3 linked regions of the Drosophila melanogaster genome follow. Changing the gene in region 1 together with any one later gene gives a genetic interaction. Each region holds a gene or a part of one and is shown in the gene's direction. Other genes may lie near its edges.

The links.
Region 2: of rictor (region 1) and Cln7, changing one suppresses a phenotype caused by changing the other (phenotypic suppression), as found in Drosophila melanogaster (one study listed by BioGRID).
Region 3: of rictor (region 1) and mora, changing one suppresses a phenotype caused by changing the other (phenotypic suppression), as found in Drosophila melanogaster (one study listed by BioGRID).

What each region holds. Positions count from the first base shown.
Region 1 is NC_004354.4:19,259,487-19,263,240, reverse strand, and holds the start of rictor (rapamycin-insensitive companion of Tor), read left to right. Parts: upstream 1-2,000; 5' UTR 2,001-2,190; coding exon 2,191-2,254; intron 2,255-3,397; exon of another isoform or gene 3,398-3,496; coding exon of another isoform or gene 3,497-3,524; intron 3,525-3,594; coding exon 3,595-3,754. Other genes in the region: Vav guanine nucleotide exchange factor, read right to left, coding at 1-108, 648-902.
Region 2 is NT_037436.4:7,343,026-7,346,779, reverse strand, and holds the start of Cln7 (Cln7), read left to right. Parts: upstream 1-1,596; 5' UTR 1,597-1,650; intron 1,651-2,395; exon of another isoform or gene 2,396-2,688; intron 2,689-2,834; 5' UTR 2,835-2,920; coding exon 2,921-3,112; intron 3,113-3,169; coding exon 3,170-3,676; intron 3,677-3,736; coding exon 3,737-3,754. Other genes in the region: CG14834 (uncharacterized protein), read left to right, coding at 1-958.
Region 3 is NT_033777.3:24,184,443-24,188,196, forward strand, and holds mora (morgana), read left to right. Parts: upstream 1-1,916; 5' UTR 1,917-2,037; coding exon 2,038-2,098; intron 2,099-2,157; coding exon 2,158-2,708; intron 2,709-2,777; coding exon 2,778-2,972; intron 2,973-3,030; coding exon 3,031-3,288; 3' UTR 3,289-3,343; downstream 3,344-3,754. Other genes in the region: CG5515 (uncharacterized protein), read right to left, coding at 3,361-3,754. UniProt on the Drosophila melanogaster protein: Regulates centrosome duplication and mitotic spindle dynamics. Also involved in controlling the size of dendritic arbors. May act as co-chaperone for Hsp83.

The sequences.
Region 1 (3,754 bases):
GTTGGTCAGGTCGTACAGCATTGTCGGCTCGAAGAGATCGGCGTCCCGGATCCCGAAGTTGTTGTGGCACACGTCCAGGAACAACTTGATGTTCTTGCTGCACAGGAACTGCAATGGATCAATTAAATTCAATTCAATTTAATTACGTGCCATTCTAATTGTATTTGGCATTATATTATATTTCAGGTCACTCTCACTCAAAACAGACGTACTTAAAAATAAAATAATAAATCATATTGTTCAATAATATTTCACTCTAATTTGGCATACTGAACAAAATATGGGATTTCGGAGAATTTATTTCGGCACATTTTAAACACATTTTCGATCGAATTCGTTAAATTATTACAGTAATTTTTCTCTGGAAACGCATTTATTTCATTTTATATATATTTATGTTTATTATTTATTTATTCACACATGCAAATTCGTGCATAAATTTGGCATATTCTATTTCTTTATGAATTTATGATGTTTTGGCCAATTATTGTCACTAATTGTAAGTGATGTTTGTTTTAATGATTTAAATTATTTTTACAGATATACTTCCCCCTATTTCTCTCAGTGTTGCTTGTTTACAAGGTTTAGAGTGTGCCACCCATTCACAATTTGCCAGCAAAGTCACTTGCTTCTCGCATTTCACTCACCTGTGCCATTTGCGGCTTGCGATTGAACTCGCGCGGATCCAAGCTGCTGGGGTCCAGGTGGATGACCAGGTTGCAGAGCAGCACGCCGTCGCGCAGCGTCATCGCCAGGATGCGGATCTCGGCGTCCGGCTGGGCGGCCTTGTGGTCGGGCGGAATGACCTTGCACCTGGTCAGCCAGGCGACGCACTCGCGCCACAGATCCCCGTTCACGCCGGCCACGCCCCCAAAACTGTTGCTGCTACTGCTGCTGGCCATCTCGCAGTGGTTGGGTTGGGTATTACTATATGGATTGGGATTTGGTTTTCGTTTCGGATTTGGAGGAGGGGTTGCGGGTGGGGCGCTGGCGTTGGCGGTGATGGTGTGAAGTGGGGCGCGGGCCCAACTGGCAAGTGTTGGAGGGGGGAGGAGGAGGGTGGGTGGGTGCTACTCGCGTCGCGTTAATGGACACAATTGAGACTCATCAGTTGGCCGTTGCGATTGGATTGGTGAACCCGAGCACAGATACACAGAGCAAAAACGGAAGGCAATGAAGAGCACAACACTAGCCAACACCACACACAACAAAAACAACGATTTCGGGACAATTCGAGCGTAGTGGGGTGTATCGCGTTCGCGAAGGGCTCACCCTGTGCACCGGATACGCGCGAACAGTGCTTGCGGCTGCCGAGTTGCTCAGAAAGTGCTCGCCACTGTGGTTTTAAAACTAATTTACTTTATTGCAAAATATTGCGTTTATCGAAGAGGAAGAGCATACTCGACTTCGATAACAGTCTGGGCGGCCGTGTAACCGCTTGCGGCTCCTTCGAAAATACCAACTGCATGTGTGGTATTTACGATATGTTAATAGCATTGTTACTTTGTGACGAAAATTAATTGTGCACCTCGGTATGCTTTAATATAACAAGTTGATGTAAATTAGTAAGTAGAGTAAATACACATGACATATATTGACTCCAAAAAAAAAGTCACCAAATAATCTTGCAGAAGAATATTAAGTAAATTTTCCCTTACAGTATTTGTTTTAATTTCGTAATTTATAATCATATAAAATAGTTCTACGATAAGGAGAATTCCTATCTGGGGGTAATTCAGCTGTCCTCGAATTTCTCAGGTAATATTTTGAATATTTCCGTTCAATTTTTATAATTAGTGCACAAGAAATTCATTATATTACAGACACTAGCCTTTCAGAGGAAGTAAGCAAGCAAAATTGTATGTCAAATGTAAATGTAAGATGTAAGTGTAAAATGAAATGTTTTTCATTGAAAGTCGCGTAAATATTCCAAATTCTCGTGCCCGCGGTGGCGCTTCGTAGTTGGTTTTTTCTCCTGCGCCGACGACGGTCACTTTAAAGCGGCGAGCAATAAAAAAAATGTAAATTGTGCAGCAAGTGAAATTGAAAAGCAATATATTTAAGTGTGATCTGTGTGTTGTGGTGTGTGGGTGTGTGTTCGACATACAGCTAATAGGCGAGCGGGCGACGGCGCCGCACCCGCCTCGCCACGCCCCCATCGGCGAATCGAAAAAGAGGCGAAGCAACGCGATGGCCTCCCAACATTCCAGTTGGCGTTTTGGCAAGCGGAGCAAATTACAATTACGCATCAAAGGTAATGTAACGAATGTGCTAATTGACATCAAACACGGCGACGGTGGCATCGGCATAATGGCGCAATCACTCCGTTCGACGTTTTGTCTCACATGGCTCGCCCCACCGACCCCCGCCATTCCATTCAGTTTGCATTATTTTGCATTACGGCGAGGCATAAGCATTACAGCAGCAGCTGTTGTTGTTGTTGTTGTTGTTGTGGATCTTGAGCCGACCTCATCCCCAACCCCACCTACCCCTCCAGCAGCCTTCTGTTTATTGGACTTGGCCAATAATTGGTAGCAAAGGGTTCTTTTTTTTGTTGACATTGATGGCAACTAGCAACAACAATAATATGTTGTTGAGGGGGGCGGGAATGAGCACACTGGCAGCATTGCCCATAACGGTAACGATGTAGCAGCGATGCAACAGTGATGTACGCATGTATCGACAGCATGGCATTCTGATCAACATTTCTCCTGATCTCCTCAGTGTTTCCTCCGTTATTTATACATTTGTTGTTGTTCTCGTTTCTATTTTCTATTTAGTTTTTATTTTTATTTATGTATTTTTTGGTTTTATTTTGGTTACTTTTGTTGTTGTTGCTGTTGCCATTTGACCAAATTCTTCGACTACATGTTGGCCGATTATTTATAGAACGGTCGCCACAGCATAGAGAGAGCCCCCAAAAACGATGACGCAGCACAAGCAACAACATAGACATTCACTAAACATCGACCATAACAATAACAGCGATAGCAACAGCAGAAACAACAACAATAACAACAGCCACTACTAGAACTACAAAAACAATAACATACGAAATGCTCAGCTTGGTTTCTTCCATTCATCGTGTCCTTCACTCTTTCGTTCTTCTTCGCTCGTCATGCTCTCTCCTTTCTCTCTCTCTCTCTCTCTGTCGCTCTCCCCCTTTTCCAACCAAATCCATCATGCAAGTACAGTTAGCTGTAACGACGACAACTGCAACAACAACGAAACTGTTATGACGCTGTGTTGTTGTCATTTCACGTGCACAGCCTGCGTCAGCGTCGGCAGAGACAGAGGCAGCGGCTGAGCTGATTAGCTTTCCACGATCCACGATCAATTTCACTTTGATGGCTTTCTAATGCAAGTCGCTGTGTGCATGCATGTGTGCACCTCCTCTTGACCGTAAAAACCCCATGTACTATGATGATTTGAACATGTGCATATCCGAAAAAGCTATTACTTGCAAATAATATTTATGTAATATTCAAGTACATCGATGTGGCCATATTATTCATTCATAAAAGGTTGTTTTAATTAGTAATTAGTGTGTACGGATCTGATAAGAAAAGCAATGAAACTTTTCCTCCATTACAGTTTCGCAGGATCCGGAGGACTTCTACCGCCTGGATCCACAGCGATCGGCCGCCGAAAATGCATTCGAAATATACTCGATGCTCTGTTTGGAGGAGACGCGGGACACGAAGCGCCTGTTTCTGCTCAACGCGCTGGCCTCGCTCTGTTTGGGGGCCCGAAA
Region 2 (3,754 bases), on another chromosome or scaffold:
ATCCGATACTGAGTGCATTCGCACCATGCAGATGAATGCCAAGACGTTGAATCTACCATTCGAAATCGTCATCCAGGGACCGAGCAGCAATCGCTTTGTGCGCAACGCACAGCAGTTCGAGCAGAAGCGAGATCTGGTGGCCAGGAGCGCCAGCACTTCAATGCAGTCGCCTCGAAATCGTCGCTCAAACATAACCATCTACAAGCCCTCCACAAAGTTGGTCATTCAACGTACGGCCAATGGCTTAGAAACGCCATCCAAGGCTTCGGAGCAGATAAGGCACAAGAGGTCCGTCGATCACCTGGAGTGGTTCAATGACTTTGCCAGTTCCTTGGTGCGTCCCTCGCCACTGGGCACTAGAGCCCAGAAGCAGCAGCGTGCATCAGCCAAGCCATCGGCATTCAAGCGTCAGGCTGAGCTGGAGGAGCCGGCTCGTCGGGAACCATGGTTCCTGGAGCAGTCAGCTTCGCGACTGACTCGCCCCGCTCCACTTAAGAAGGATGCACTCTCGCGGAAGAACAAGAAGAGTCCTTTGTTCCGAAAGAGCGCCAAGAGCAAGGCGTCCAAGGAGCAGTCGCGCAAGCAACCGGAGCGAGAGATTCGGCCACTCCGCGATGCCTTGCAGGTGGTGGAGCGGATACCCAAGGTGCTTCAAGATACGGTCAGTCATCTGTCCTCCGATCCACGCACTGGGGATGTCTTTAGCCTGAATATTAGAAACGAGGATGTGCCGCAGAAAAAGGATCGCCAGCCTGAGGATCGTGTGCCACGCAGGCCTAGCGCCACCTTCCGTGGTTTCCGGCGCAATGAGATCATCCCCGAAGCCGTCACCCTGGCTGCCCCAATGGACCTTGCCCCACGAGCTCCACTTCCCGGCCAGCGTCCAGGTGGACTCCTGCTGCCCTGGCTGAGGCAGCGGCGACTGATGCGTTTGCAGCAGGCACAGGGAAATCTGTAGACCCAACATACCCAATTTACTTTCACTTTTATTATTATAATCATTTGTTGTATATTTATAAGGCATTTTGGTCTCTCAAAAATAAATATAAATTTGCACATTATAGTGTTCTGCAGTAGCAGCGAAGATAGAAGCGTTCGAAATTAAAGTATCTGAAGTAGTAAGATCTTTATGTACCTGTAACAATATGAAGGCGTTCTTAAAGATCGTTTTCCAATGAGTCATTATAGTATTCACACACGCAGGTAGAAGTTTGGTAGGTTAGACAGGTTTCTATAGAACTCCATTCTTCAGTTTCCCTATTATTTCAATTGGATCTCGAATCGAATCTCAAAGATACATCTATTCTACTGATGATCTAGTATAATAATGATAATTTGAAGAAGGAGTATTGGTGTTACATGGATTGTGGATTGATAACAAGTTACTATACTATGCTTAGGAATATTTTGCCTGAATAGAAAACCCTTGCGATCTATCTTACAGATGCCATAGATTTCGGAGTATCTAAGTAGCATACTTTCGGGCGCGGGTGCTATCTGCCGTTGGCTCCTCTCTCTCTTCGGGCAGCTCCATCACGCTCTGTGGCGACGCGTCGTCCGATTTGTTGGCAACAGGCGCTGCCGCGTCAGTTCAGTTCAGTCCGTCGCGTTCGTTCATCTCCAGTGGTCGTCGCTGTTCCGCTGCAACAGGTAGTTAAAAAGACATAGCCCGATTGGTAAAAGGTGCATTACCCGCTGGAAGCCCCACAAATAGGATGCGCGCGGTAGGGGGGTGCCCTTGAGTTCTAGATGCACAGAAAGATACATGCACGCAGATACAGATACAGATACAGATATAGCCATTGGCAGAGGGAGAAAAGCGCTTTCTTTGCGTTTGGTTAAATATTACAAAAATCGAGTGAGAGGAAGCGGGAGAGCGAGAGTGAGACAAAGAAAGAGTAATTTAAAAAAAAACAAAGAGTGCATGTTTCCATTTAATTTACATAGTTTTGCTTCAGTGTGTGACGAAAAACAAAATACAACTTAGTAAGCTAAGTAATTTGAAAATCAAAGCAAGGAGTGCAAAGGCAAAGTAGCTTAACGAAAAAAACAATAGGCAGCCAAAGATCAACGGTCGCTATCTCATATCTAGTATCTTGTATCTGAAAGATGTGTGTGTGTGTGTTTGGGTACTTCGAGAACGAGAATCTGGCGCTCAACTAAAAAAAAAAAGAAAAAAAAAAAACCAACTGCATCAATTGGCAATTGGTATAATCAATTAGAAATTGATTTGCGACGGAGTGATCTTCAACCAGTGATGATTTGATTGATGTAGGAAGTGGACAAGTCTGATTGATATGGCTAATCGCTGCACTTGTTGCACTATCGAAAACTAAAGTTATAACAAAATGTTTTTATTTCGTACCCTGTACTGGGGCGAATCAATTTCTTTTGCTCTGATAAATGAAATCATGTAATAAACTGACGTTCTGTACGAACCTTATCATGCCATATAAACAAAAACAATGGCATACTCACAGTGATAGTGGCTCTTACTAAAGAAAAACGACATACAGACACCCGCACATGGCAACGAATAACTACAAACAGCTTTATTTCGGCACCGATTGCCTTTATCTTCCGCAATTTGTGTGATAAGTTCAGCAAACTGTTTTCCATATCTGTGGTTTTTTCGGAGGAGGATAATCACGCGACGTCTGGCAGATAATCCACTCCATCCATATTCAAGTAATTGAAGGCACCGCCGATTAGAGACATACTCTACTCTGAATCATTAATAGTTACAAGACTTTAAAAGCGTGTCTAACAACTGACACATCGATTCACAAAAAGCTCCATAAAGAAAAAAAAAACTCATTCGAATCCATTTACAGAATGACTCAGTGGCGGTGAAATCCAGCAAACACACATCCATCGCAGCCAACCAACCCATCAAACATCACAGCCAAGCAAACCAATTATGGAGTTTGCCCGCCGAGTTTCCGCTCGCTTTGAAACCAAAAGACTGCCGGAGGATGTGGACGATGGCCTGGAGACGCTGGAGGAGTACAAGCAGCGCTGGCGCTCCGTCCGCATCATCTACTTTACGATGTTTCTGATGGCGCTTGGCTTCAGCATCATACTCACAGGCATTTGGCCCTACCTCAACAAGGTGCGTACCCATTTTGGTCACGCTATCCAGCTGCTTTTCAATCTCATCTCTCTTCAGCTAGATCCCGATGCGGGCAAGGAGTTTATGGGACTGATTGTGGCCGCCAATCCGCTGGGACAAATGATCTTCAGTCCGATCTTTGGGTGGTGGGGCAACAAGCTGGGCAAGATTCGTCTGCCACTGCTGCTATCGCTGTCTCTATTCACGCTGGCCAGTGGCATATACTCCTCGCTGGAACTGCGTCCGGACAATGTGAAGTACTGGATGCTCTCCTCGCGGTTCCTCATCGGTGTCAGCTCGGCGAATATTGCCCTGTGCCGCTCCTATTTGTCCGCTGCGACACGAATCAGCGAACGCACACATGCCGTTGCAATGGTTTCGCTGGCACAGGTCCTTGGATTCATCATTGGTCCAACTCTGCAGGCGGCAGTCACACCGCTGGGAGATCAGGGACACGTCTGGCTGTGGGGCAAGATGCACTTCAACATGTACACGGCATCCGGATGGATCAATGTGCTGATGAGCATTGGAAACTTCATGATGTTCCTGCCCGGAGTGTTTGAGGTGAGTGGCCAGGTTACTTGGTTCGCTCTAAAGTGTCATTAAATTTGAACACTCCTTCAGGAGCACAAAATTGCAGCT
Region 3 (3,754 bases), on another chromosome or scaffold:
ACAAAAGACTTGGGAAACGAACTTGAGAGCGTGCAGCGCACAGATCATTTGCATTGCGGCGGCCTAATTGCAACATCCCTTCAGCTTTCAGCTGGGAAATTGGCAGCCAATCGGCAATTGGCGATAAGGATTAGTAGCCTAAATAAGTATTGGCAATGGTAGACGGGCATTTGCAGCACGCACATCTTGGGCATCGTCAGTGGCTCTGGAATGCTGCGAATGTTACCGTTGCGGGAAATCTGTACAGCATGACATGACAGCAGTGCCACAATTGCATGTTATTTGGCTCTTGCTCGCGCTCGCCATTGTATGCTAAATTACGTATACGACCGGGCGGCCGGGGCAAAAGACAAAAGCCGAAGCCGAAGTCAAAACGGGCGGTGTTAATTTCCACTGACACTGGCGCTGTTGCGACCACAGTGTCCGCTATATTTATTTATTTATTTATTTATATGTTGCATTTCTGCGATTGTCAAAAGCCAAATGCCAGAATTGCACCGCACCAGAAAAAGTCCACAATTCTTGGTCGGTTGCACAACAATGGGATCATGGCATGATTCACAGCCGCAGTTAAAGCGACGAATGTGCCTGTGTAGCTGCGGAAAACGCCGACTTTGTCATAATTATACCATAAATATGCTCGCAGAGTATACTAGTTAGGTTTGTAACAGGCAGAATGAGGAGCTATTGATCAGGATCACTGGGCAAGTCGATCTGACCTCCTCCGCCAGACCTCTGTGATCTTGGAAAATATCAAAGCTAGAAAGCTAATTAGTTTTAGAAGATTGTCATGCCCACAATCTTGCCGATTTCTAGGAATATAAAAAAAAAATGTTGCAATATCTTTTTCGTACTCCGACAATCTGAGTAATCGGTATCTTATAGTCGTGAAACTCGACTAAAGCGTTCTCTCTGATTTCATATTTTGAAGTGCGACACAGGAACAGAGCCAGGCTAACGTGTTGATAACCTTGTTGACCACAAGAATTTCCAGCGAAACGACAGTTTCAACGACTGCACTGAGAAAAAATTATATCGATTTCAAAACGAGAGGTTAATGCTTCAAAATATTTGAAATATTCCTTGTTACTATTGAAATAAAATGTAAAATTTATTAGATTGATGAATTTGAATACACTTTTCGTTCGAAGTGAGAGAAATTTTTGTAGTCAATGGGGCAGTTCATTTTTTCTTCTTGTGCGCAAATATATTTTATGCCCTGACACCGCGGGCAATAAATGAAAATGAAACCGCGAAAACGTGTGTCTATGACTGAGTGCGACAAATAAACAATCATGCAAGGCGGAGACATTACCCGAGGCCTCCGGGAACCAGTTAGAAGCCGCCAGAGACCAGCACTCCAGTATCCCGCCCATTCTTTGATCTAATTTGAAAATGTCGCTTGGCAGTTCCGTTCGAATATCACGTAGCCCAAACACAGTCGGTTGCTGACCTTCAGGTGATTTGCAAATAATGGTTTTCAGTTCAATTCCGTCTTGCAATTAGCAAATTCTATAAAGACCGCATTGACCGGCCAAACAGTGGCAGCAATTAACATAATTCCAAATTTACTATCACTTTTAATTGCTCTCCATTCGCGACTGTTGGCCTTTCCAAAGCCACCAGCGATGATCGGTGGGCAAAAAAGCAGCCATTTGTCACATGTTTCAAGGTATTTAAATCACTGGTTACGTTTATACTATAAGAAGTGCACTCATTTTTCAACGAACACATATTTAACCAGGAAAAAGTTCGAAGAGTTACAAATGCAAATAAGTTCAATTGGAATAGTATACTAATACTATTATTACGCACAATTTAAAATGAAAATAAGGTTAACAATCATTTTGAATTTTCGCGCTAGCCCCCGCAGTGTGACCATCACTCACTAACGCCATGATATCGGTGCCCCTGCTGATGGTAAAAACGTATGGAACACATCTGCTTATAGAGGAATATTCTCGATTTTAAGCGAAATTTGTACACATTTAGTTAAACCAAAACATACATAATTAGTTCAACCGAAACTTAATAATCATGGAACAATGCTATAACAGAGGCTGTGGCCAACTCTTCGATCCGCAGACCAACAATGATGGTAAGCAGCCGGCAATGCACATTCCTGCTGAGTGCTTAACCCCCCGTAATCCCGCCCAGAATCTTGTCGGCACCATCCGGGTGAACCTTTCTTCCACGACGCCTATAAGGGTTGGTCCTGCTGCAACAAGAAGTCGGTCGACTTCACCGAGTTCCTCAACATCAAGGGCTGCACCTTGGCAAAGCACTCGAATGTGAAGCCACCAGAGCCGGAGAAACCTGTTAAAGATGAGTCCGACAAGGATGAGGTAATTGAGGTGCGGGCACCCATCCGGGAAGCCCTGCCGCGTCCGCCCATTGATTCGCCGCTAACCGTTATACAGCCCACCGTGGCTCCTGCCCTGAAAGACATGGTTTTTGCAGTCAAAACGCCGGCTGCTCAAAAGTCCAGCGACGCCATTGAGGTGGGAACCACTTGCAAGAATAACGGCTGCACCTACTCCTTTACGGGTAACAGCAGCGACTTTGGCGAGTGCACCTACCATCCGGGCGTGCCAATCTTTCACGAGGGCATGAAATTCTGGTCCTGCTGCCAGAAACGAACCTCGGACTTTTCCCAGTTTATGGCGCAAAAGGGCTGTACCTACGGTGAGCACAAATGGGTCAAGGAGGTGAGTGCCCTAAAAAGCAAAGAGACTTGGAACACACAAGAAGAATTTTTAAAAACTCCCCTATTATAGAACGACGACAAAAAGGTTGTGCAATGTCGCTACGACTGGCACCAGACGGCCACCAATGTGGTGATGGCCATTTATGCTAAAAAATACGATTACAGTCAGAGCGTGATAGAGCTGAACCCCATCAGGCTGCACGTCAACCTGGTATTTCCCGAGCAGGACAACGCCAGGTTTGACCTGGACCTGGAATTGCGCGGAGTAAGTCCCAAGTCCAACTGAATTTCATGGTAAACAGACTAATCGTATCCCCTTGCAGATTGTGAATGTGAGCAATGCAAGCGCGCATATGTATGGCACCAAAGTGGAGATTAAACTGCCCAAGCTGGAGCCCGGCTCTTGGTCCAACCTAAATTTTCCCAACAAGAAACTGCCAGTGGTTAAGAAAAGCCAGGTGGAAGAGAAGAAAAAGCAGGAGGAGAGCGATGAGGAGTTCTTCGACCTGGATGACATTAAAGCGGAGACCAGTTTCCGTCTTTCCGAAATGAGCATGCAAAGCCCAAACAACTTAGATTAATAAAGAAGTTGGCATTTAATGTTATATAAAATACACGAATTTGCCTTTGAGTAGTTTGACACAGTTTGTAGCTTAATCGTCGTCGTCGTCCGCCCCGGGCACCCAATCCTCATCATCATCGTCATCCAAATCCAATTCGCCAATATCCTGGAACAGCGTCTCATCGATTTTGACATTTTCAATGTTTTCACCCGCCTCCAGGAGGAACTTGATATCCGAATCGTTGAGCGTGTTGTCGCACATAAAGAGTTCGCGTCCGGTCTGCTTCTTGGACACATTGTTCTTCTCCCGCTTGGCGGCAATGCCGGTGCTCTCCTCGAATTCGAGCTTCCATTTGAGGAAGGACTCCACCGTCACACGGGTGCCCTCAAACTTCTTGCGTTCCTCCTCTTCGATTTCCCGCAGCTTCTGCTCTCGCAGTTCCTCCTGGTGGAACTTGTGTTCATCCCACCGCTCGTTCAGCCAC